Linked DNA regions of Astyanax mexicanus. The protein of the gene in region 2 interacts with the protein of the main gene of each other region in a pairwise test. Links are inferred from orthologs where the notes say so. Each region holds a gene or a part of one and is shown on either strand. Other genes may lie near its edges.

Region 1 (6,895 bases), on a different chromosome or scaffold from region 2:
TCTGAATGAGCAGTAGTGACATCAATTCCTGTATTTGACCTGTGTGTCAGGGTGAAGGTTGCAGTACGGTACGTGTGTGTGTGTGTGTGTGTGTGTGTGAAAGCTGAGAAACAAGCCCTCCTCCCTCCCCATCATCCATCTATCAGCAGTGCAGTAAATCATACCATGACTAGACTAGTGACTAGTGTCACATAGGCCCACGCTTAGTCTCTCTCTATAGATACACTATGACTGCTTTACTTTATATCCACTGTACGTACGCTGTAAAAAATGTCAACCTGGGAAGAAGTTGATTTTAAGTGTTTTTAAGCTTTGAATTGATGGAAAAAATAAAAAGATTGAAGTATAATTATTTAACTTATAGTACTTTAACAATCATATATATATATATAACTAAATAATACTTTATTCTCTTTTTTCAACTTCATTTCAAACATCCTTTTAACATCAAGTTATTACAACTAAAGGGGAAGTTGACTTAACTTTTTTAGCTTTGTTATACTGTAAGACCAGATAAGTTGAGTTTACTTTTTTAAGTTTGCTCAAATTTGTTAAGGTATAGGAAATAAAAACTTAAGTGAGCATAAATTAAAGATCAAGTTTTTTTACAACTAAAAGGGAAGTTGATTTATTTCTAAGGTAGTCCAGGGGGAATCACTACACACTGATGGTGAGTGTTAGTCAGAAACTGTTGGACACGCCCAGTATGCAAATAGATTGTGACTGAAGCCAATGGAAAAGTAGCTGTTAATGGCAACAGACTAAACTCAGTTATTATAAATTGGTTCAAGTCAAAGATAAAGATTATATGTGCTCACAAATGTTCATCTAACTCAAAATAGTTGAGTATTGTTTAGAAATATCCAATTTTATGTAAAACAGACTTAAATCATTTGAGTTCTAACAACGTATGGGTTTACAGTGTAATGTTTGTAGAAGCGGTCTGCATACCTGGGTGCTTGGTTTTATACACATGTGGCAATGGAAGGGATTGGAACCTATATTTAATAAGGTTCCATTTGGATGGGTAAGGGAATACTTTCAGCAATAATCTGTTAAAATATCATGAAAGAACTTAGAAAGAATCTCTGCTCTGTGCTCTTGTGCCTGTGCTGTAAATCAGCTTCTTTTAAGCCCTAGCAAATGCTGCAACTGACCAAATTAGCAAGGGTAATTTTATAGGCTTAAGCATTTGCTCTGGAAATTAGCTGATGAACCGTGTTAAGCCCCCTTAATTCTCTCATGTGTCCTGTATTTTCCAGAGTGAAGATTCCACATGTTTTTTTGTTTTTTTCTCTTAGTTCAAAAGTGCAGGAGCTCTGAGAATGGCGAATAGAATCATATCTGCTCTTCAGTGACAAAAGCACAACAGACCGAGGTCTAAAATAGTTTCCACGCCGGCTATCTCTGAGCCTATCTGACTTTCCACATTAGTGAAGTCTGTCTCTGAAGCTCCAGTGCAGCCATTAGAGCTGTTAAAGAGCCTGGGCAGAGTGGGGATTATGGCGAAGGTTGCGTTTCTTCCACAGTGATGACAACAGTGGTGAAAGAGCATATAGTGTAAGAATAGTGGTGTTTACTGTATGGGTGCATGTCTGCATGTCTGAGCTCCACAACATAATGTGCATTCACCATTATTGTGATACTGTGATGATGTAAATGCTTCGATCACAAGGAGCTTCAAGATGTCAGTGACTGCAAAGCAGACAAACCAAGTCTCCCTGAAGCTGCGGGAGTCTCCCACATTTCGCTAGTGGCTCCCTGATGCCCGCGAGTCACATATAATCTCCCGGAAGTTAAATTAAGTGATTTCTTTTCGTGTCACACTGAAGACACATTTATATTTACATCCTGCTTTGTAAATATGGGGCGTGGTCAGTCAGCGGTGGATGTGGGCACGCACGGTTCATTTACAGTGTGTTCGTGGAGCGGTGTGGGTGTGGCCTGACTGTTATGGAACGCCTTTTGGGTCTTTATGTCTGTGAGAGACTGCACTGTGAGTGTTGTGGGCGGGGCTCACAGCAGCCCCCTGCTGCTCGCTGCGGACAGTGACTGAAGAGCATGTGTTCATCTCAGAGTCGCCAAAAATCTCCAATAACACCACAAAAACTCGCTAGATTTGTCGCTAGTCGCTTTTTTACAAAAAAAAAAGTTGCTAGAGGGTCTGAAAGGTCGCTAAATATAGCGACAAAGTCGCTTAGTTGGCAACACTGTATCCTGTCTCCTCCTCTTTTGCTCACCTGTTCATTTGTAGCTCCGCCCCTTAGTCCCAGGTGCTTCCTGTTTCGTTGGTCAATACTTGAAAAAACTAAAAGGGTAGCATTGGCATGTTCAGTGTGTCCACACACACCTAATACACCGTGGTTTTAAAAGTTGTAATTCAGAAAAGTTCAGTACAGTGAGAGATAAAGAATAAATAGTGATAAAAATCTACTTACAGCTGAGAGAGAGAGAGATAGAGAGAAGTAGAAGGGAGGGAAGGGGGGACAAACAAGACTACAGTTATCTAAGAAATACTGCTGTACTACTGTGACTCCTGTGCTGGGATGATTTGACAGGAAATGGTCAATACTTTTGCATTTGTTTGAGACCTGTTCCATCGATATGTTTGCATTTGCATGTAAGAGAGATGTTACTTGATATCAATTTGAAATTCAAAAGTAAAAAAATCAGGTGTAATTAAGGATTCAGAAAGAGACGTTTGTGGTTCCAGAAATAATCATTAATGTAAAAGAGATGTTGGCATTAATAACCTTTTAGTATATCTGTTTAAGGTCAGATCATTAAGTTCAAGGTTCTATTCCAATTAAAAGGTTTTTTCACATTTGCATACATCTCTATTTCCAAAAGTAATTATTTTATGGCATTGATCATACAGCTATTTGTATAATTACCTTTGATTTGAAGAGTGTAGGAACAGGAACAGTGTGGTTAACTTATAAAAAAATACAGGTTATCTATTGCTTATTCATTGTTTTATCATTTAATAATCAACTCTACCTGCCTCAATGTTTAAAGCAGAGGTGGAAAAAGTACTGGAAAATTGTAATTAAGTAAAAGTACCTTTACTTTGCTAAAATTCTACTCAAGTAAAAGTAAAAGTACCCATCTAAAAACCTACTCGAGTAAAAGTAAAAAGTACTCAATGTAAAATGTACTTTGAGTAAAAGTTACATAGTTACTTTTATTTATTTGGTGTAAAAAAGTACACCAAACAAATCATAAATTAAATAATTATTAAATTAGATAATTTGGACCTTTCAGGCAGTATTTGTTCAGACCACCCTAACAAACATTTTAAAGAACAAGTGGCATAGATTTCTATGATCCATTTTTTTTTCTTTACTGTTAAAAGTTAAAAAGGAAACGTTCAGCTGCGCTACCATGGAGAACAAAACTCACTTTTTTTTTATTCAGACAATTATTTTTTTGTCCCCCAGCATTTATTTTTTTGCTTAATAACAGGGAGTTTTCCAATGTAGTGAAGTAAACTACTTGTGTCAAAATGTACTTGAGTAAAAGTAAAATTACCTATTTTTACCTATATTTATAAAATCTACTCAATTACAGTAATGTGAGTAAATGTGGTTTAAAGTATTGAAAGTGAAACATTATGGACTGATGGACTGACTAGCTGCATAACAGAGCACTGGATTGAACATTCCCCAAGTTCTAATAACGCATGTGTGTGCATGTGTGTGTGTTGTAGGGATCATTTCCAGGCATCGGGGGATTTCTAAACCTCCCCTGCGCTGTTCCAGCACACGGCGGCCAACATGAGTGTATGCGAGTACGGGAGGGAATATCAGGTGTCGGTGCAGACAGGCTGTGGAGTGAGGGCATCGTGTGGAAATAGCATCAGAGACGGTATAAAAGGCAGATACACACACTCGCTCAGTCAGACAGCATACACACACTGCTCAGGGGGCAAGCAGTTGAAGAACCAGGTGAAGAACAAATTGAGATCTATCTTCTTAGCAGAAGAAGAACAGAACCAGTGAAGATCCTCTTTAAGAGACGATCATTGTAGATCCTCTACAATTACAGTTAACCCTTAAGTAACAAGACAAGACACAGAAGCTGAAGATGCAGGTTTGCACAGTCCTGGAGAAGCGTGGCGGCTGCGTGGTGGGAGCCGAGCTGAGCTGCAGTGTGAGGGAGGAGAACGCTGCCAAGAGAGAGAGCTACACCGCTGACTGGCACAGCATCAACATGAAAACACAGCACGAGGATCGGTAAGTTCATATACTTACACTTAACTTACATTTAATTTTATTTGTGTGGGAACAGTCTTTCCTTAATTTTATAACTTAGGAATGTCTTTCTCAGGTTCTTCTTAAAGTTATCCTAGACTCCTGACTTTCTGATATATTTGACCCAAAAAGTCTTTTGGTCTTTAGTCCTGCTCCTGAAGAACTACCTTCAACCCAACTGTGGATCAAAACCACCCTATCCAACCAACCTCTGCCATCAAATTTCCTTTATTGGCTAAAAGAAACCTGATTGATTTGGGCTGGAATTGAAACCTGCTGGAAGGTAGTCCTTTAGAAGCTAAAGAGACTTCTCTTTGAGGACTACAAAGACAAAGACCAGTGGTTTTCAATCCTGCTCTTGGAGAACTTCCTTCCTATAAACGTTGTATCCAACTGTTCCCTTTAGATTCAGTCCTTAATTGATTAAATGATGTATTATAGTTTTGGATTTTGGATCCAATCCTAATCCACCCTACCAACTAACTTATGCCTTCAGATGTCTTTAATTGGCTGAATTTGGTGTGTGCTAAAGTCCCTAAAAACTTTGCATCCAACCCTACCTTATCCGTCTAGCCAATCAAAGACATCTGAACACAGTAGTTACTTGGATAGGGTAGAACGTGCTATAAGGTTGGATCCAAAGTTTGCAGGAATGTACCTCTCCAGCAGGTCATCAAATCTGTCACTGAGACCTTAAAAAGATATGAAGCAGTGAACTCCATCCCTTCTCCTGAAGAACTACCTCCCTGCAGAATGGGATTCTTCTGGCTTGGGTGGATCATGTTGAGTTGCATCCAAAGTTTGCAGGAATGTACCTCTCCAGAAGGTCACAATACCAGTCTATGACAATGTGAACTAGTAGTCCTCAACCTTCCTGCAGACTTTGGTTCCAACCCAAATTGATCCACCTGAGCACAATTTACCATATCCACTTTGCAAATACCTTCAGATGTCTTTGATTGGCTAAATAGGGTGTAAAAGATTTGGGTTGGAAATTTGACCCAAACATGAAACGATTTCCCTGGATTGGACCCAGATTTCCTTCTCTCTAAACAGCAAGTGGTTAAGATTAGTAACTGAATTATAAGCCTAAAATAGACCCCCTTAATGGACTTGCATGTCAGCCCACATGTTAGCCCCTTACCCTCATAAATACTGCCTGGAAATTAGAGTAGCAAGTAATTAATACTTATGCATCTGCAATAAACCTTAACAGCTTGTTAACAACCCACCCTGGACCTTTAAAGGGGTTAACCACTTCTCTCCTGCGCCTTCTTCTCTCTTCTCTCTAGCCAATCCATGGCAATGTCCGACGATTCACGACGGGAGACCATGTCTCGTTACTGGCAAGCTCGCCCCCTCACCCAGTCCTGTCCATCGGGAGTGCGAAGAGTGGGAACTCTGGAGTCTGGCGTTCGGGAGCACCAGCTGCTTCCCAAAAGAAACACCCTCCCCCTGCCAGTCTTCAAACCAGTGGACCTTGGCATCCGACTGGGTCGCGGCACTCCACACACCCCCGAGGACTTCATCCCTGCCCGCACACCCAACGGAGAGTGCCCAAACAAGAGGGACATCCAGGAGATCACCAGAGACCTGCCACCCGTCAAACCAACCCACATGGAGTTCGCCAAATCGGCCAGAACCCTGGGCAGGTCCATGTCTCAGGAGGCCCAGAGGGGGTGAAGAGAAAGAGAGCAAGAGGGGACGGAGGGGAAGCTGAGTCGAAGAATGTTTGGACTTTGTTGAACTGTGGAAGGGCACTGAGAAAAGGGGGCTAACCTTGCAGATATAGGTAGAAAATGTACACAATAGACGTTTTAAAGCCTTCTTTGTTACTGCCCTCGCCCTGCTTGAGAAACTGCAGAGACTGATGTTGCTGATGACGATGCAAGAGGTTTGTAAAGAAGATATGAGCTGTAAATAGTATCTGATTAATTAAATAGACCTGTATAATTAAAGTAAAGCAAGTTAAACTTTAGAGGAAGGAGTTGAGCATGTTTTCGGCTGGAAACCATTGGCACAAATCGTACAAAACTAGACAGAAGAAATGAAGCAGACAGAGCAAGTTCTGGACTTGAAGGTTGGCAGGCAAGATCCTTTGAGGTACTGATGCCTACTTGGAGGAAATCAGTCAGAAATCAAGAAGGAAAGATACAGAAGAAAACAGAGGGACAGAAGCAGAGACAGTCAGGTTTATGTGTATTTTGTAAGCAGTCCTGCAGTTTATGCAATGAAAAAAGCAACAATAAGCATGTTTACAATGTTTAGGTAAATATATTTTATTTTGTTACGACTTATAAATGAATGAAATTGCACTATTTGTCAACTGTTGCTTCACATGCAGTTGTTTTTTCCTCATAGATCACAGTGGTCTTTTTTCTTGTTTGTAAGATGTCCAATGTATTGTTTCAATAAATAAATGACATAAAAAAAAATGATTGCTTCGAGCCTCATTAATGTGTTTTAATACAGCATAATACAAAAAAAAAAACGTAATAAAAACTTTTAGTGGTTCAAATGAAACTAGACAGTTCAGTCCCAGCAGAAGCAGCTGTTGCTGTGATACAGGTGTTGGTTGGTTGGTTAATTGTTGATATGGTATTGTTGTTAGTTACTATGTTGTAGGTGTTGGTTGCTAATGT
Region 2 (7,003 bases):
TGCATTAACGCCTCCGTGTCAGACTCTTGAGATTAAAAACTTTTTTTTTTCTCGCTTGGAAAACAACATATCTGCTCCAGTTCTGCTCCAGTGAGCCACTGCCAGCTTGAGCAGGGAAACCAAACAGCCTGATCACATACATGACATTATGAATCATCTGAAAACAATGCGACTGTATTGGTTACTCATTACTCATTCATTCAATTATTCATTCATTCATCCATTCATTCATTCATTGTTTCATTTATGAGTGCTTAATGAAGCTGACTGAGCTTGTGAAGATACATGAACACCTCAACTGCACATACAATGCTATAAATAACCGAAAAATGCAAATACATTTATTTATTTGTTTGTTGTTTATATTTGCATTAAATTGACCTGCATTAGATCAATAAAATGAGTACCTTGAGCATCAATGTGACAAGAAATGGTTTAAAAAAGTGCATTTCCTTTATGCATTTATTTTATTTTAGTGATGTAGGCCTATTTATATTTGCATGCAGTAAAGTAGCATGTACTGGATTGTACTGAAGCTTAGTATTTGAGCACTTCTACTTCAGATCAACATCCATTTGATGTCAATAATCTAGAAACTCCTAATTATATATATATATATATATATATATATATTAATATTATTATTACAGTATCACTAATTCTGTTATTATCTTTAATAATCTTAAATAATTAACTTCCTATTTTAGCAATAAAGTAGCTTTTTATTGCACAGGGAATGTGGGCAGGTTGTGAATGACAGTAAAAATGCAAATACATTTAGATATGCTGCATTAAAATGACCTTTCTTGGACAGGGGCTTTTAATTACCCTTTTTACAATAAAGTAAGCTTTTTTAGTACAGGAAATGTAAAAGGGCAAATACATTCTATTTATTTATTTGCATAGGCATTGAAAAAGTTTCTCTTATTGGACAGGGACTTTTAAGTACATTTAATTCTTTATGATATTAACAAATTATCAATAATTCTGTTTCTATATAATTTTAATAAATATGGTTGTGACTGATTGTGAATGGCGGTTAAATGCAAATAAATTCTATTTATGTATTTATTTATTTACATATGCATTTAAGTGACCTTAATTGGAAGGGGACCTTTAAATACATTTAATGTTATTACATTTATTTCTATTATGTTATTAAAATAGTATCATTAATTCTGCTTCAAATTCGATAGTTGTCAGTTAATGGTTATCTATATTTTGATAAATATGTTAATTATTTTATTTTATTTTTGTGATAAAGTAAGCTTTAAACGTGCATTTGGATAACTGTACCTGGCAACACTGTGTTCTCCTTTTGTTATTTATTTTATTGTATATGTTTTAGGAAGGCAATTGTATATTTTATTTTCTATGTTTTTGTTGTTGTAAAGCACTTTGTGTCTACTCTCTGTGAAAAGTGCTGTATAAATAAATTTTACTTACTTACTTTACCACACTGGGAATGTGAGCAGGTTGTGAATAACTTAAAATTGAAAATACATTCTATTTATTAATTTATTTGTTTGTTTATGCATTAAAGTGATCTTTATTGGACAGGGTCAGAGGGCAACAGTCCACCCCTAGGCAAATGAAGTCAATTGCAATTATACATTATTATCAAAATAAAACTATTTTGTTTATATAATACAACTATTATTATTATTACTATTTAATAATTCATATATTTTATTGACTGCATAACTTTTTCTCTTTATGCAATACAGTAAGATGAGCACGAGCACCTTCATCAACTGTAATGTTCCATATTTTTTTTGCAGTTAAAATAAACAGCGATATTTTTAGGAAGTCATATATATCTCCGTGTGTTTAAGGCACAGTTATAAAATAATGTGAATGTAAACTAACAGAAGAGGAGGAGGAGAAGGAGGAGGAGAGAGGGAGATACTGTAAGCTGGAGCAGAAGAGATCCCAGCAGCTCATTATATAACCAGCAGAGCTGGACTCACACACACTCACACACACCGGAGGCTAACTACACACACACGCACACAGCAGTGTCAATGAAACACACTCAATCCCGCTTTAAGTAGAAACAGTATGAATGGAGGAGCTGAACTCCAGCTGCTGTTTGTCACCTTTACTCAGCGCGGTGGTGGCTGAGGAGAGAGAGAGAGAAAGAGAGAGAGAGCTGTCAGTAACGTTAACTCAGGCGCCCCGTTTCTACGAATAAACAGCGTAGCGCGTAGCAACACTTCCGCAATTGTGTGTTTTCTGGTTCAGCAGCCCGATTCCCATAAGCGAGTCTCCTCAGCTAGGAAACAGAGACAAAACTACGCTAAAAAGCCACGACAAGCGACACGCTGGCGGTTTCCAAAAAGTACAAACGACTATCTAGCGCTGTGCGAAAACACGGAGCCGTGTGTAGCTTAGTTAGCGGAGAAGCTTGTGGGGAAGTTGGCCAGCGCCCTCTCCTCCCTCAGCAGCCCGGCCACAGCGCGCCCTGGCCGGCTTCGCCTCGCCCCAACCCCCGCGCTCTGACTCCCTCTCTCCCACTTACTCTCGCTCACTCTGCTCTGCGCTTCGAGTTGTTGTGTTAGTTTTAGACTCACTTAACAGCCTCCCTGCACGGTGTCATCCAGTCAAACTTACTGTATCAGACGCACGGATTTGGATAGAGCAGGTAAAGTAAGATAAATATTCAGTTTTTAGCTTTATTTTTGTATTTTTTTTTTTTAAATATGAACGCCAGTCTCTGATCCGCTGCGTCTCCTTTTCGCTCCAGCCATTTTATTCTCTCTCCGCTACTCTCTCTCTCACTCGGGGTGGAAAGGCAGGTAAAAGTGGCAGGAGAACCGGTGAGCATTGGGCGGACTTACTGTGCGCTGTAGCGGGCAGTGAAGTGCGCGGCTCTCCGTGTTGGGGCTTCCTGCGCCCGCTTTAGCCGGTGGAACCGTCTCCCCTCAACTAGCACGACGTCTGCTGCAGCAGAGCTAATAGCTCTGTGGCTCTATGCCCCCACCTCCTGGAAGTGTGTGACCGAGGGAGTGAGTGAGTGCGTGCGTGCGCGCGTGTGTGTGTATGTGTGTATGTGTGCGTGCGTATATGTGTGTGTGTGTGTGTGTGTAAGAGAGAGAGAGAGGGCGTGTGTACGTGTGTGAGTGTGTGAATGTGTAACCCAAATATGGAGCAGTTGGCCGGCCCCGTTAGCTGAGGGCTTTGAAGCCTGGGCTGTTTCATAAAAAAAAACCCGAGGAGGAGGGGGGCAGCCTTTAGCAGGGCTTACTTACTTACATTCAGAGTCAGTTCAGAAGCAGCAGACTGGAGACTTGTGCATAAATCTGTTAGAGGTTATAACAGACTAAAAAGGGCATGCATTGAATGCAAATGTTAGCTTCACTTATAAAAGAATAAAAGCACTTTCAAATGACCATGTCAATGTCATAATGGTACTGCGTTCAATCTGGGACACCATCACTGCAATAAAGTGTGTAGGCAGTATACTGTACACGGACCAGCCATAACTTTAAAAGCACCTGCCTCATATTGTGTAGGTAGGTACTAAAACAGCCTTGACTTGTCAAAACAAGGACTTCACCACAATGCACCGCTCAATTCAGTTCCATAATACTGATACAGAGCTGTACACTACAACAGGACAAGATCTCCAGTGCATTCCAACACTTCATGATCAATTTACAGTACATACTAATATCCCATTCAAATATTAGCATCAGATCTTTTTTTAAACATGTTTTTGCTCCCTATAAATACTGGTAGTTTACTTGCTGCCTAATATTTTATATCACAGCCTTAGCAGGCATTCTAGCATTCACCATTATTGTCATCATACTGACACAGGGTTGTACAGTACACTATGAGAGAAATTATATACTACTATCCCGTGACTTTTGGCATGTCATTCAGACATTACCATCAGATCTTTATTTTTAAGCATGTCTTTGTTCCCCGTGAATATTAGGCCACTTTTTTGTAGGTACTGACCGTTGTATACATGTGAACACCCCACAAGACCTGGTTAATTTTTCGGATGTGCTCTGACCCAGTTATCTAGCCATCACTATTTAGACCATATCAAAGTGGCTTCCTGCTTCCAACACATCAACTTCAGGTACTGACAGTTCACTTGCTGCCTAATATTGTATATTCCATCGCTTAGCAGGTGCAATAGTAACCAGATAATACTGTAAATGTTATTCATTTCACGTTGTTAGTGTTACTGTAAATAAGTAGGAAGTAAAAATCATGCAACGCATACAAATATATAAAAATCCGTAAAATCAACACAATATGCTCAAAAAGGTCTGCCCATAACCCATTTGTATAAAGTTGTATAAAATCCCAAACCTCTACTTCAATAATCAAAGTATAAAATTTGTTAAAATAATTTTAGTTATTATTTATAACTTTGTATTTTGAACCATTGAACTGTTTGAAAGAGCTTAACCCAGCAAGTCTGTCAACTAACTTATATATAATAAGAAATTATTGTTATTTTTTGCTAACAAAGCTGGTTTAAATATTAACAACTATTTGTTGATTATGTGCCCCATACACTGTACTAGTAACATGTAGGTTTAAAGGTTTGAATGTTTAATTGAAGGTTTGAAGATATGCCTGTATTCACCTGAAATGGTTACATCATATTCACATTATATAACAGGTGCTAACCTTGTGCTCTGAGATCAAGATCAAGAACTCCCAACCATACACAAATACAACATGGAACAAAACAACGTTCCTCCTGGATCTCAGTGCAACATACACACATGGCCTGTGTTTACAGCACCACACGATACTGTACACAACACATCGCAGTACATTATGAGTCCAAATACCTTTTACATAATGCTGGAATTGGCCTAAACCACAAAGGGTAAGACAGTACTTCTAATAATAAACACCCTTATCCTTTTGTGTGACATCATTAGGAGTTCAGGGTAAGTAGAAGTGCTGATAACTGTGTAAATAAACAGAAATCTTAAATGTAATTAATTTGGGTTTGTTATGTATTTGTGTTTAGTATGTATTCATTTTTTTAGTCATTTTATAAAGTAAAAATGATCTCATGTTGGCTGATTTTCCTGTTTATATGCAAATTTTATAACTTCCCTTTTTTTAGTACACTAAATGTTTGAAATTGGAACACACCTTCTTTTAAATGTCTTTACCTACTTCAAGTTACACCCATCGTTGACACAGAGTTGCTAATGCACATACACAGCTTATCTTGTCTAAAGGTTTGTATTGCAAAAAATTGGGTGTCGATAAAATGTCGTATAAAAGTCCCCAGTATTGAGCTGTGAAACAGTGGAACTGTGTTCTCTGGAATGGTGGAGCTCCATCCAATACATTTGGGATGAGTTAAGGAAGAGTTGGGGTGATGATCATCCAAACATCTTGTCCTCTCTATTGCTCTTGCTGCTGAATGCAATTAAGCAATGCTCCAAAGTCTAGTAGAAATCCCTGGAGAGTAAAGACAGTTACTCCAACAAAAGCATGAAATACTCTTTTAATACCCTTAGTTTCAGAGGAAACAATGAATGAGCAGCTTTCTCGGTACTTTTGGCAATATAGTATATGACTTTTCTTGCTACAGGCCGTGTAAGCTTTGGGGAAGTTACCGGAACCCCGTTACCTCAGGTTTAAAATTCTTGGAATCCACCTTCATAGCTGAGAGAATGTCTTCAGCAGTCCTCACTCAGAAACACTTAAAAACCACAGGTGAAGTTTAGGGGTGACAGATGCAATTGCGAATGAAGACACAGAGAAAAACATCAAGCTCTGCCCATTAAAAAGGCTTTTAGACCACCACTCACAGTTAAAACCCTGTAAACAAGCTGGGAAAATGTAAGTGCATTATCTCTGCTGCTGCTTGAGTTTTCGAACATTCAATTTAGGGCCAGAAATGTTATTTACTCAGAGAGAGGCCGGCAAAATCACTGTCATTTTTTCTTCAACATGACTCGGATGGGACTTTTCCAAAGTGTTTGTCGCTATGTTACTGTGGAGACCACATACTCTACTCGCTCCACCCGGGAATATATTACCATTCCTGCCCTGTTCAGCTACACTGACTGCACAATACACAGGCCTGTTCATGCAAGATATAAATAAATATATTTGAATGCCACAATTTATAAATTAAAGAGAATGGGAACAGCTCTCTTAAATAATACTATTTCTGATTATTGTGTTTGTTTAAGTGAGAGAGAGTGAGACAGTATAAGAGAGAGTGACACAGAGAGAGTGAGAGTGTGTTTTTAGCTCATGTTTACCTCATTACATAGCTGTTCTCTCTGGGCATGGGACTGTATGTGTGCTGCGTATGAGTGATCTGCCCTCAAGGAATTTCATAGACATACACACATAAACACACACAGTCTACCTTCAACAAAGTGAACCTCAGGAGAAATGTACCAGAGATGGGTGTGAACAAATTTTCCTATGTGTGAATTTATATTTCTGAGCTTGTGAGGACACTGAGGACACTCAAAGCAAAATGGTTTCTTTTTAGTAGTGGACCCCCTTTTAAAATCATTTTAAAAAGATAGAGACATTGCTTTGAATACAACAGAAAGGGGGGTTCTTCAACTGTTAAGTGGTCGGTCTGAGGATCACTGGTTCATTTGCAGATAATGCTGCTTGCCACCAGCAGCTGGAGTCAGAGATAGCTCAGTTGACCTAGTTCACCTAGCTAGGTGCTCTCTCCATACTAGAGATGTGTCATATTGTATCATATGCAATAATATTGAATATCGTTATTGCAAAAGCACCTAGTGTGATGTTAATCAGCACAGGCGTCTGTTGGCTGATCTATCAAAGCTGGGTTGCTGTGCTTTCCTCAAGCGAGCTGACTACCCAGTAATGCAAATTAGCGGCAACATAAAAAAAAGGATAGAGGAGGCGTGTGCTAATCTTCACCCCCTTCTTGGGATTGTGCTTCCAATTTAGGAATAATAAACAGAAATATTTTTTAAAAAGGTAGATGGTTACTTGTAGGAGTTTTTATATAGAATCT
Region 3 (7,251 bases), on a different chromosome or scaffold from region 2:
ATAAGGACATTCACTGTGGCTATCCGGTGGATGGCTGAGTGAGAGGGGATGTTTGTCCTCTTTAGGAAGGTAGCAGGAGGCAGAAACGTGCAAAACATTGGGCAAGGAAAACAATAAAGAAATACTGAAAGGAGCTTCCTCTGTGGAGATGGAGGGGAATATCTGAGCAACTTCTGTGGACAAGTGTGTATGTGTGTGTGTGTGTAAGAGAGAGAGAGAGAGAGCAAGAGAGCGAGAGACAGACAGCAATAAAAACAAGGAATAGACTACTCACTACTAGGAAAGTGAGAAAAGGCCCTGAGGAAACCCATGAATCAACCAAGATTCACTGTCATTAAAAAACTGGCAGGAAACTAAAGGAAAGTTGTTGGACATGATCAGTACTATAAACTCCATAATGAAATCCTTCATCAGTCTAACTATTCTTATTCTAAACATGGTGCAAGATATCAGGACGAAGCTACCTCTTTCATAACCAGCAGCATTATTAATAGAAGCTAATGCCACATAAAAAGTCTTTTATCGGAAATGGATCAGAAGAAAAACCCTGCTAACAACAATACCCTATTCACACACCTGTCAACAGCCGGGGACTGAGGGCAGTGTTAACTAATGTGCTGACAGCCAACTTCTGCAGTATTATTGATTGTCTGCTTTGAGAAACCCACTGTGGGATTTAAATAGTAAATAAAGAACTGGGAAACTATATCCGTTAACTGCATAAAAACAATTTAGCAGAAGAAAAATCCTTAAGCTAATCAACAGGACAAAAATATATATCATTTACAAGTCACAATAGGTTTGAGGACACCTGGTCAGAAGACACAATTTGTTCATTATTTGATGGAAGTAAGAAAGTTAAAATTCCTATTTTTTCTCCGAACTGAATGTATTGGAAACAAATTAATATATGTAATATTTAATTAGATTTACACACAATGCAATTGAATAATTGCATTATAATAAATGTCAAAAACTGTAATTATAATTCAGATTTGGTAGAGATGCTTTCTCTTTGGAGAAGGTGACTTTCATTTTGGCAAAGGCATTATGATATTTATTACTTGTATTCATTTGTTGTAAAATGAATTCAGTAAATTTATAAATGCCAAAAGCTTTGGACAATTAATAAGGTCAGAGTGAAGTAAAGTCAGTCATGTGAGTAAAGAATCTAACTGGGTTTAAGGGTTTAAAACATATAGGGTTGTTTTCCTGGACTAAGCCTTGTCCTTGATGAAATTGTCCTTATCACTGCACTGCAGGCAGCCAAATTACATTTTGTATTACTTTGATATAACTAAATACATTTATGTATATTATTAGTCTTTAGTCTTCCCACTAAAATAAATGTATTGGTTAAATTTTAAGACTTCCATTTAAGAATGTTTTTTTTTTATAATACTCATATTTTATTGCATAATATTCAGTAATTTAAAATGCAATTATTAATACATTACACAAATGTATGTGTCTGCAAAACGTGCATCCTGTATAACATATAACATGAGGTCCTTATATATGACGACATGTGTAAAGTGTGCTGATCCAGCAGTACCTGTTCAGTGATGCTTGAAGACAACTTCTAGTTTCCCTGGAATTATCCTTGACATTTCCCCTCAAATTCCACTTATCCTTGGCTTCCCCTCAGCGGTTCCTTTTCTTCCGTGAAATCCTTCCAGGACTTATTCTGAGAAAAGCTTTTGGAAGAGCCAAAGCCATGCTCCTACAGGAGAACACCTGAAACATACAGGTAAATAATACTGGAATCATACTAATATTATTCTATCGATTAAAAACCTCAAGCATACCTGTCACAACCATTTATGTGATTGTCTCTACAGATGATGATTAAGACAGATTTTAATTAAAGCATCTGAATAATGTCAGAATAATGTCCCCCCTCACCTGTGGTGCATGCCATTAATCTGTCACATGATCAACTTCCGCTCCTGCACTGCTTTAATGAGATAACACTTCACCACCTGAGTCTTTGGGTCAACATCACTGACTCACACAGAGTGTGTAATGATATCTGTCTGGATGAACAGATGACATGAGCCACCATAGGGAACAGAGATGTGAATATTTAATTAGACTCTTGAGCACTGGGGGATGATGGTGCTAATTAGAATAATAATCATGGTAAGAAGTCTGATTGGCCATCAGGAAAGCTGAAAGACAGCAGTGACTCTAGGCTAATTAACATGCCTGGTGATTTTCATAAAGCATGTCTATTCTAGACCAGTATTGTCTAGGATGTCCTCACAGTAAAATCAGTCAAAAAATGAATATAGAATTATACATACAGTATACGACAGTGTTGGTTGGTCCTTGCACAAATATGAATAATTACTTTTCTTGTAATAAAAATAATAAAGATACAAAAATAATCCCCTGGTCTCACAGTCCGTCAAATGCCTACCCAGAGTCACTAAAATGGACACCAATCTTTTACAAGGTACCACACACTCACACCTAGGGGTTAGTTTAGCATAACCAAATTATTACTCACATATTTTAGGGAGGAAAAATGAAACTATAGTACCTGGGGGACACATACCTCTTCACAGATAAGCTACCTAAGGATCAAACACACAACCCCAGACACTGCTGTGTAGCAGACCATGCTACCATGCTGCCAAATGCAAACATACATTAAAATAAGCCTTACTGTCAGTTTAGAAATATAAATAAAAATACTGTAACATGACATGTGATGTGTAATTGCGATGCTCCACTGACTTGTAACAACTATATATCTTTGGTAAAGTGGACAGAATAACACTCGTGAGAACTGCACAATGGTGTTTACCTTAAGTCATGTTTGTATATATTTTTTTAATATTGCTGTGCTGCATCAACAACCCACATGCCTCTCTCACTTTCAGGTCCATTTCTGTCTCTCCTAAATTGTCCTAAAACGTGTGTGTTTAGGGGTGACCCAAAGTGTGAAGGACACTTCAGCTGTCACTTTAGCTGTCCATGTAGTTTATAAGTGGTTTATCATCTCCTCCTACCCTATATTTAATTTTTACCCTGTCACACTGGTAATCAACTTCCCAAAATGGCATGTACCACAATGGTGGAATCAAAAGTAGCAGGAAAGATATGCTTTATTTATAGGCCAGGCTACCTCTGTAAAAAAAAAAAAAAAAAAAAAAAAAAAAAACTATAAAGACTGGGGATTAGGTCGCCTCAGGCAACAGGGTGTTTTTCCCTTTTTTTCTGTAGATAAGGATGTGTACCATCTGTCATTCCAATATGGGACACTAGCTGGCCAGCACAACCCCCCACACACACACCCCTTACGTCACGAGTTTGGTGCGCTTCCCAGCGTATTTTTTACCCACCCGTTTTTGACATGTCCCTTGTTCTGGGCTCGGATTGGCTGATAGTATTCCTCGAGCTGAGTTTGGATTGGCTAGCAGCTTATTTTCATAAATTTTTTTTCTTGAAGACATTCGCTGCTAAAAGATATGGTTATTTTCCTAATCAATACCTGATTACTAATATAATTAAGGAAGTGTCATATAAGCTTGTATTGTTACATAAAATATATCCAGCCAAAAGCTTTTTTATAACATTTACGCACAATTTTGAAACAGATTTAAAATATAATTTTGGAAAACGTAAGTGCTTATGTTATTTTAAAATGCATGAAATGTACTGTCTGGTATATTTTCTGTCTTTTGCTGAATTACAGATATAAATATGCACATGCATATTTTAAAACATTCTTTCTCTTTATATATTTTATTGCTGTCTAAAATGTCTACTTGTCTAGCGTGTATTTATTTTGTTATATGTGCACATTGGAGCCTGGAGAAACCTCCAATCACGTTTAACTATGCATTCCTTGCTGTATATTTTAAGTAAGAAAGAAGTAGAAAAGTTCATTTTAAATTTTACTTTGATATATCATACATTTTATATGTTTTTAATGGTCACATTTTAAATAATTATTAATTGTAATGTTTCCAGTTAAAATATATTTTGTTGCTTTTGAAAAAGAGATGAAACACTATATTAAATTAATACAGCCCTTTTCGAAGCAAAAAGCCATTTTACAGTTAAATAAATCATGTTTATTAGCCTAGCAATATTATTAATAATTGTGTATTTGTGTGTATACTATTATTTTCTATGTATTATGTTTGATTGTAATGGATAAAATTAAATAAAAAAATAATAATAATAAAACCTGGAGCGGCCAATCCCAGTTGAGGGGGCGGTGTTTGTCTGAAAACAGGTGGAAAAGGAAATAACGCCGCTTCTCCGGGGCCTCTGGCACACAGTCACACGCAGGATCCACGAAAAAAGTAGGTTACAGGAACTGAAAGTACTCAGTACTTCAGACACCTAAACAACTTTTATACGGGTAGCTAAACAGTCGTGACCTTGTCGAAGACGTGGTGAAGTGAGGCGGGCCGTTTTCAGCGCTCTTTGGTGTGACAACGAGAGAGGATGGCGCTAGGTTAGCTCTAATGTTAGTCATCTAACCTAGCATGAGCTAGCATAGGCAGACCAGCAGCACTGTAACTTTTTCTTTTAAGGGGACAGTGGGGACAGGAGGCTATTAGTGATTCAGTAATGAATTTTAATTTAATCCTGTTTTGTGTGCACGCTAGTGGTTTATCATGCTCCAGTCCAAAACACAGATGTCTTCTTCTTTAAGCTTCTCGCCTGAAATGTTTAACCTAGCTACCAGATTTAGCTCATTTTAACTAGCTACGTTAAATAGTTAACCTAACAGTATTTTGTAACACAGTCCGACACAGGGCAGCATCTTCGTCCCTTAAAGTTCAGGATCGTGAGCTGTAGATTAACTGTGTGTGTTGTGCAGATGAGAGGCGAGTCAGGCCAGCTGTAGATGAGCTGGATTAGCCAGCACTTGTTTTTGAAGAGGTAGGGTAACGTTAACGGAAATCAATAAATGCTCCATTGTTCCTGTTTTCTCCGCAGCCCTCGCACGATACGCTGCGGGTTTCGGGGAAGCTGCATGGCTAATTATTCTGTGCTGAAACCTGGACGTGTCGTGTTGGTTAAGATTTACTATAGTTTACTATAGTCTAAACTGTAGATAGATAGTTAGATAGCTAGGAGTGTGACACTGGCCCACTTTGATTCACCACTGCTTCGTTCAGTATGTTGTTTACTAGCTTGTGTCCACCTAAAAACTAACATTCTCTTATTAGTTACACGTCCAGAACTCGGCCCAACACTCCTCGGGGTTGAGTTTGCGTCCGACAGGGTCCAGGCACCAGCCTAGTCCGCCTGAGCACGCCAAACCTTCTCGCAAACTTTTACAGCTAACGCTAGTTAACAAGCTATCTAGCTACCTACCTACCTAGCTAGATAACTAGCCAGCTTAATGTTAATTTTAAGTTATTTTTCGTTTTAACTAGATAATTATTGCTCTCTTGTCTTTTATCTAGCTATATGATACAGTTTAAATTTCTCAGACATTATTTATGTCTAGTTCTGACACCGGTATACCGTGATGTTGACATACCGTGATGCTGCTCTTCGGTAACAACATATCGGCTAGTAAGCTAACCTATCTAACTAGGTTGACTCGGTTACTGTGTTAGGTTAACGTTACTTGGTTAGTTAGCAGTAGGTTATATAGTTAGCTAGTTATCTATGATAAAGTGACAGTAAAACAGTAACGTTAGCATTTGTATGACCAACCGCCTTTTCCACTCTTCTAAACACTATGGGGCAGCTTCCTCCGGACAGGGAGTAAGCCTAGTCATTAGTCCTATCTGAAATCTCATTCATGGGGGGGATCCTCTTTGATTTTATTCCAGTCCGGGAACGACCATGTACGTGCTTTTCCCAAACGTCTTCTGAATTACTTACTGTTTTTCGCTGAAATATTTAGTCCCCACCAGACACAAATCTAATTTTCATTACCTCGCATTTTATAAAATAGTTGTCCACTGCCACACACTGTCATTACACTTCGGCCGTGCGTTTCCACGGAGATCCACTTAAACAATAGCGAGTGGAAATAGAGGAGCTACTGAACCCGATGTCACGTGACTGAGAAAGCCAAAAAACTCACCGGTCCTCCTGTTTATATATATATATATATATATATATATATATATATACAGTGCCCTCCATAATTATTGGCACCCCTGGTTAAGATGTGTTCTTTAGCTTCTCATAAATTGAGTTTTGTTCAAAATAATATAGGACCACGATGGAAAAAAAGAGTAAAATACAACCTTTAACTCAAGTGAATTTATTCAGTAGGAAAAAAATCCCACATTAAGAAATAATTATTTAACATCAAATCATGTGTGCCACAATTATTAGCACCCCTGATGTTAATACTTTGTACAACCCCCTTTTGCCAACAAAACAGCACCTAATCTTCTCCTGTAATGTTTCACAAGATGGGAGAATACAGAAAGAGGGATCTTTGACTATTCCTCTTTGCACATTCTCTCTAAATCATCCAACGACCTGGGTCCTCTCCTCTGCACTCTCCTCTTCAGCTCACCCCACAGGTTTTCAATGGGGTTGAGGTCTGGGGACTGAGATGGCCATGGGAGGAGCTTGATTCTGTGTGCGGTGAACCATTTCTGTGTAGATTTGGCCACATGTTTAGGGTCATTATCTTGCTGAAAGACCCAGTGACGACCCATCTTCAGCTTTCGGGCAGAAGCCACCAGATTTTGTTTTAAAATGTCCTGGTATTTTAGAGCATTCATGATGCCATGCACCCTAACAAGGTTCCCAGGGCCTTTAGAAGAGAAACAGGCCCACAGCATCACTGATCCCCCGCCGTATTTCACAGTGGGCATGAGGTGCTTTTCTGCATACTCAGCTCTTGTGTTACGCCAGACCCACTTAGAGCATTTGTTGCCAAAAAGCTCTATCTTTGTTTCATCTGACCAAAGCACACGGTCCCAGTTGAAGTCATAGTACCGCTTAGCAAACTCCAAACGTTTGCGTTTATGATTGTGAGTGAGAAATGGTTTCTTCCGTGCATGCCTCCCAAACAGCTTGTTGGCATGTAGATAGCGCCTGATGGTTGTTTTGGAGACTTTGTGACCCCAAGAAGCTACCATTTGTTGCAATTCTGTAACAGTGAGCTTTGGAGAACTTTTTATTTCTCTTATCATCCTCCTCACTGTGCGTGGTGGCAAAATAAACTTGCGTCCTCGTCCAGGCTTGTTTACCACTCTTCCAGTTGTTTTAAACTTCTTAATAATTCCTCTGACAGTAGATATGGACAGA

What was found. The genes of interacting proteins can lie anywhere in the genome.
Region 1: the proteins of atxn1a (region 2) and tcap interact in binary tests that used the Homo sapiens proteins (3 or more experiments, as listed by UniProt). The link is inferred for Astyanax mexicanus from reciprocal best matches to the Homo sapiens genes ATXN1 and TCAP.
Region 3: the proteins of atxn1a (region 2) and trip6 interact in binary tests that used the Homo sapiens proteins (3 or more experiments, as listed by UniProt). The link is inferred for Astyanax mexicanus from reciprocal best matches to the Homo sapiens genes ATXN1 and TRIP6.

What each region holds. Positions count from the first base shown.
Region 1 is NC_064426.1:36,180,130-36,187,024, reverse strand, and holds tcap (telethonin), read left to right. Parts: upstream 1-3,887; 5' UTR 3,888-4,086; coding exon 4,087-4,235; intron 4,236-5,545; coding exon 5,546-5,936; 3' UTR 5,937-6,687; downstream 6,688-6,895. UniProt on the Homo sapiens protein: Muscle assembly regulating factor. Mediates the antiparallel assembly of titin (TTN) molecules at the sarcomeric Z-disk.
Region 2 is NC_064410.1:43,979,004-43,986,006, forward strand, and holds the start of atxn1a (ataxin-1a), read right to left. Parts: upstream 3,017-7,003; 5' UTR 2,841-3,016; intron 1-2,840. UniProt on the Homo sapiens protein: Chromatin-binding factor that repress Notch signaling in the absence of Notch intracellular domain by acting as a CBF1 corepressor. Binds to the HEY promoter and might assist, along with NCOR2, RBPJ-mediated repression. Binds RNA in vitro.
Region 3 is NC_064415.1:18,461,170-18,468,420, reverse strand, and holds the start of trip6 (thyroid receptor-interacting protein 6), read left to right. Parts: upstream 1-4,243; 5' UTR 4,244-4,319; intron 4,320-4,352; exon of another isoform or gene 4,353-4,474; intron 4,475-7,251. UniProt on the Homo sapiens protein: Relays signals from the cell surface to the nucleus to weaken adherens junction and promote actin cytoskeleton reorganization and cell invasiveness. Involved in lysophosphatidic acid-induced cell adhesion and migration.